Linked DNA regions of Kluyveromyces lactis. The protein of the gene in region 1 purifies or fractionates together with the protein of each later gene. This does not show direct contact. Links are inferred from orthologs where the notes say so. Each region holds a gene or a part of one and is shown on either strand. Other genes may lie near its edges.

The links.
Region 2: the proteins of QCR2 (region 1) and QCR10 purify together in Saccharomyces cerevisiae (affinity purification with western blotting; 4 studies listed by BioGRID, with this or other methods). This does not show direct contact. The link is inferred for Kluyveromyces lactis from reciprocal best matches to the Saccharomyces cerevisiae genes QCR2 and QCR10.

The regions. Positions count from the first base shown.
Region 1 is NC_006038.1:322,927-326,118, reverse strand, and holds QCR2 (ubiquinol--cytochrome-c reductase subunit 2), read right to left. Parts: upstream 1,584-3,192; coding exon 501-1,583; downstream 1-500. Other genes in the region: RPC82 (DNA-directed RNA polymerase III subunit C82), read left to right, coding at 2,470-3,192. UniProt on the Saccharomyces cerevisiae protein: Component of the ubiquinol-cytochrome c oxidoreductase, a multisubunit transmembrane complex that is part of the mitochondrial electron transport chain which drives oxidative phosphorylation.
Region 2 is NC_006041.1:1,221,872-1,223,853, forward strand, and holds QCR10 (ubiquinol--cytochrome-c reductase subunit 10), read right to left. Parts: upstream 1,123-1,982; coding exon 1,114-1,122; intron 848-1,113; coding exon 620-847; downstream 1-619. Other genes in the region: bifunctional hydroxyacyl-CoA dehydrogenase/enoyl-CoA hydratase FOX2, read left to right, coding at 1-228; KLLA0_E13861g (glycosyltransferase family 15 protein), read right to left, coding at 1,418-1,982.

The DNA.
Region 1 (3,192 bases):
GAAAATAAAAATAGGTTCGGCAAGAAGACACACTACGTATTAAACCAACGTTCTTGCAATATCACCACAACCTCTGTTTGATTGTTTTTCTTAAGAGCAGTGATGGGGATTGTATGAATCAACAGAACTGTTGAATTTGATCAGTGGCTTCTGCACATTTCAAAAGATTAAGATATTGACGGGTTCTCTTTTAACATCACCAGTTTTTCCAAAGGTTAAAGGTGTTCTTTTGAATCTTAGAGAGTTTTGTTTTTGAATTTTATTGGTTTCTTTTAGGTTGCAATGTTTCCAAAAGCCACGAAAGGTAAAAGATAATAAAAAATATGTACAATAGAAATGTAATATCGTTTCTAAACATTTCAGTGATGTGATTCTGTCATCTCTCATGAATATGTGTGTTTGTTTGTTGTTTTTTTTTCAGTTTTAAAGTACTATGTGTGTAACTTTGGCTAGTAGGAGAAAGGTTAAAATCTGTGAGTTATTTTTAACTGTGATGAAATTTACAATTCATCAGCGAAAGGTAGCTTAGCGACGTTACCTACAGCGGCGTAAGAGAATTTGTCCAACTTGACATTCTTGACATTAGAGACATCGATTGGAGCGTTTTCCAAAGATAATTGCAAGGCAGTGTATTCCTTAGCAGCTGAAATGTCGACATCCTTCTTCAAGGTATCAACGACCTTCTTTATGTTTTCAGCAACGACAGAAGCATCCTCACCCTTGACGTATAAAGAGAACAAGCCGGCATTAGCGTACTTGTCTAACTTAGCTGAGTCAATTAATGGAGACAATTCGGACAAAGCAGAGGTTAGGTACTTAGCCAAGACTTCGTAGGTAGCGAACTGTTCCTTAGTAACTGGAACAGCGATAGCGGCAACGGAGGCACCTGGAGCACTTAATCTGGCTTCACCGGAGAAGAACTTTGGTTGAGCTTGAGCAGCCAACTTGGAGCCAGTTGGTAAAGAACCAATCAAAGAGTCGTTGACAAATCTCTTCAAGTCAGCTTCGTTGACACCTTGACCAACAATTTCAATGTTTTCCTTGGTGTAGACCTTGTTGGCATAAGCCTTGATATCATCCAAGGTGACCTTCTCGACACCTCTGTATAGAACTGTGTTACCTAAGTCCTTTCTGAAAGAGACATTGTAAAGTAAGTCTTCGGCCTTGTTGATTGGGTTAGTTTCAGAAACGGAAATGTCGTACTTAGCAGCTGGCAAGACAGATTCTGGTAATTCGTGGGGTCTGAAACTGGTCTTGTACAAAACGTTACCCAAAGCGTTAACGAAGTATGGAAGATCTTCCTTCAAGAAAGTAGCCTTCAAAGTGATGTATTCTCTGTCAACACTGGATTCGAACTTACCACCCAACAATTCACTTTCTCTAACCAATCTCAAAGCAGACTTGTTACCGGTGTTATGGAAGTTGAATCTGGACAAAAGGTGGGCAATACCTTCTTTGTCGGCGTAACGAGAACCACCGTGAACCTTAACAGCCAAAGTGGATAGTTTACCGGAACCGTCTTTAGCGGAAATACTGAATTTTCTAGCAGTTTGCTGGGCAAATTGTAATCTACTGGACAACATCTTTATATTATATGTTTATGGGCTTTTTAATTTTGGGAGTCAGAATATCAATCAATATCAATATCAATTATGCGTTAATCAAAAGGTCTTCCTCTACTTTTCCTTTAATGTCCAAACTCAAATAATATTTACTCACACACAAAATAAGTATCGAAACAGAGCAAAAAAAGTACACTGACAGAGTAACGAGTAAAACAAAGTAATCAAAATAGTATATCAATCACAAATCTTTACAAAACCTGTAATCAAAACCAATCTTCAAACAAAAAGCTCTAAACTTTGAAGTAGAATTGTCATATTTTGTTATAAATTTTTCAAGAACCTATTGAATAAAGCTATATGCGATAAAATCCAATAACTAACAAAAAAAAAAAAAATTGAAAAAAAAAAGATATTTCGAGATGTGAAGACTGATCTCTACAGAGGAATCAGAGAAGAAGCGAGCTGATTCTGTAGAAAGGAGAAGCGTGCTTAGACCATCTTGGAGTCACAGTAAGAAGGGGATATCGGGTTTTAGCGGAACGTACTGGGAGTGAGAGGGAACAGACAGGAATCGCGTAATGCACTGTGAAAGGGTATTGGTAAACCATTTGAAGAAAAAATGGTTGGACACGGTTCTTAGAAATGATTGGTTCGTGAGTGATGAGATGTCACGTGACACAGAAACACAAAAGTCACGTGGTTGTGACCACGTGACTTACAATAATGTTGCCTGTTTCTTTCGATCTTCTTGAAAGACCCATCCATTCGTATTGAAAGAAAAAAAAAATCTATCAATTGAATTGATCTCATCTCATCTCATCGCATACATGCATGACTACTGCAACAAGGTGGCTCGACTGTAGAAAAGGTAGGAAAATAAACAATTGTTATTGCAAGCACTGACATGAGTGCTGCCCAAGCTGCCCTGATCCCCGATGCGGCTGTTCCAAATGGTGGTGCAAGTGTTGTATCAGCCGCAGAACCATCCACATCCACATCACCAGAACCAATCGATATCTCTTCATTAGAGCAGAGAACTCTTAACCCAGATTCGTTTTTATACTCTGAACTTGCCAGATCCCATCTTGGTGAAAGAGCCAGTACTGTTCTATCCGTGTTGGTCAACAAAGGAAGACTCTCCACGAGAGAAATTCATTCTTTCATACCAGAACTTTCGTTGTCCAGTATTAAAACCGTTTTGGTCAGTTTGATTCAATTAAGATGCGTACAATATTTGGAAGAAACCTCACTCTCTGGTCGTAAGACCCTTTATTACTACTTTAACGAAGAAGGTTTGTTCCTTATGTTATATGCGGGTGACATCAGCGACAGAATTGTTCAATATTTCAACCAGGATGAGGAGCAACACTTGGTCAACATCGCACAACAAATTATTCATAACGTTCTCGCCCTTGGATCACTTACCGTAAAAGATTATTTAGCGTCTGAATCCAATTCCAATGATACTGATATTTTCAATATCCACCAAGCTTTCGTCAGATTGGCTGATCTGGAATTTTTGGTTCCCTTGCAAGGGATCCATTATACACCAATCGTTGATTTATGGAATATGCTTTATCTACGAGAGTACAAGAAATTACCGAAAAACACCACACAGTCGGATTTG
Region 2 (1,982 bases), on another chromosome or scaffold:
CATGGATTATGTACCCTTGGTGTGAGTGCCAAGGAACTATTTGAAAAGTATGGTCCATTCGATGAATTAAAGGCAAGATTCACTAATGTTGTTTTCCCTGGAGACAGATTAAAGGTAAAAGCATGGAAGAAGAACGATGTTGTCATTTTCCAAACTACTGATTTGAATACTGGTAAGATCGTATTGGACAATTCTGCCATTAAATTGATCGGTAAATCAAAGTTATAATTCTGGCTTTGTGTGTCAGAGAGCGTAAGCTGTAATGATTATGTCCCAACGTATATTAGTTTGTAGCAAATAATGAATAACGACCAATTCCAATCCGTTTTCTTTTGACATAAAACAATTTATATCTCTTTACTTATATACGTTTAGTAAAAGGATGGGTCCTATTTATATGAATAATGTGTAATTGAAGTGCTTTTTCGAAAGTAACGTTCTTTCGAGGGTTTATTTCATAAAATAAATAATAATAATGGTGCTCAGAAGAATATTTTAATTCCTTACTTCTAGGCTTTGGGATTGAGAATATGCTTCCTCTCGTTAAGCATATCTAGAGAGAAAGCAACCTGCAATGACGAAAGTTCAAAAAAATATCATACGTATAACGCATAATCAATTATTGAGGACTGTCTTCTGGAGCAACAACCTTAACCCAGTGGTCACCGAAGTATGGGATCTTTCTGTAGAAGGCATCTTGGAAAGTTGGCCAGCCATCGGTGAACACGAATAAACCGAAAGTAGAAGCACCACCCCAAAGAGCCAAGTTTGGAGCGTAACTCTTCAAGTTTTCAAAAGTGATTCTACCGAAGTGAGCAGCAGTCTTTGCTGATAGTTTAGAAACGTACTGATGAAGATAATTGTTTAGGGAAATATCCCTTGACACATGAAATGTTAGTAAAAAAACAGTCTTCAAAGGGCTTATATTTGCCCAAGATACATCAGGTATATGAAAGATCCTTCCTAAAGGTACTCATAACCTTACCTTTAAGGTCTGGAGATATCGGTATACCTAAAAAAATCTGGATAATTCAGTTATGAGTTTTGATCTACTCCATCTCTAAAGTCTCTTTCAAAACATTAACCACATTCCAGACACATGTCTACACATACAGCAACCATTTTGGAATAAGTATACTGGTGTTTTTCAGCTCTAAAATAGATATCTGCAACGTTGACCAAAAGCACATCCCATAGTAAAGGTATAATGCTCCAGTTAATTGAATTGAAGCTTTTTTATCTTTTTTATCATATAGTGTTGATGTCATTGTGAACGACGTGGACAGTGAGATGATTGGTTGTAGGTCACGTGCAAATAGGAAATTTGGGTACCATGATTACATATCTGTATCGGTTAACTAGTAGAACAAGGATAAGGACAGACACACTTGGCAATCAGGGACTGTTAATTATCCAATTATTTGAGTTCTGTTGTCATAGGCTGTGTCCTGTCCATATTCTTATTTTCTGGTAATAAATATGAGTAGTGTTTCTTCACTTGTGATAAGGTATCTGGCCTCTGCAGTCCATTCACATCAAAGAACTTACTGACGCAACTCCAACGATGCCACGTGAAATCTTTTGAGGCTTGGCAATTGCATCTCAATATTTCTTTCAACGGGTTATCTCTTGGACAATCTTGATTTGGATTGTGTGCGTACCCTGTATCGGGTACAAAATGGATTTGGTCAACGTCTAGTAACAAACTAAATGCAAGCGTATGAACCGGAGCATCGCCCCAACGTTCGTAGAAAAACCCACCAAGTGAGTCCAAATATTGGAAATAAGATTCGTACCCATAACTCGGGTCTTTGAATATCTTTAAATGGGCAATCTCAAAGTTAGTCCAAAAATGACATCCGTTATACGTGGCTCCGTCATCGTCCGAGATGAATTTGAAGTTGTTTCGTTTGCTGACAAGTTCAGGGTGCATTTCGAAAAAATACTTATACGTATGTTCCCATAACGTCGGGATCGTCTTT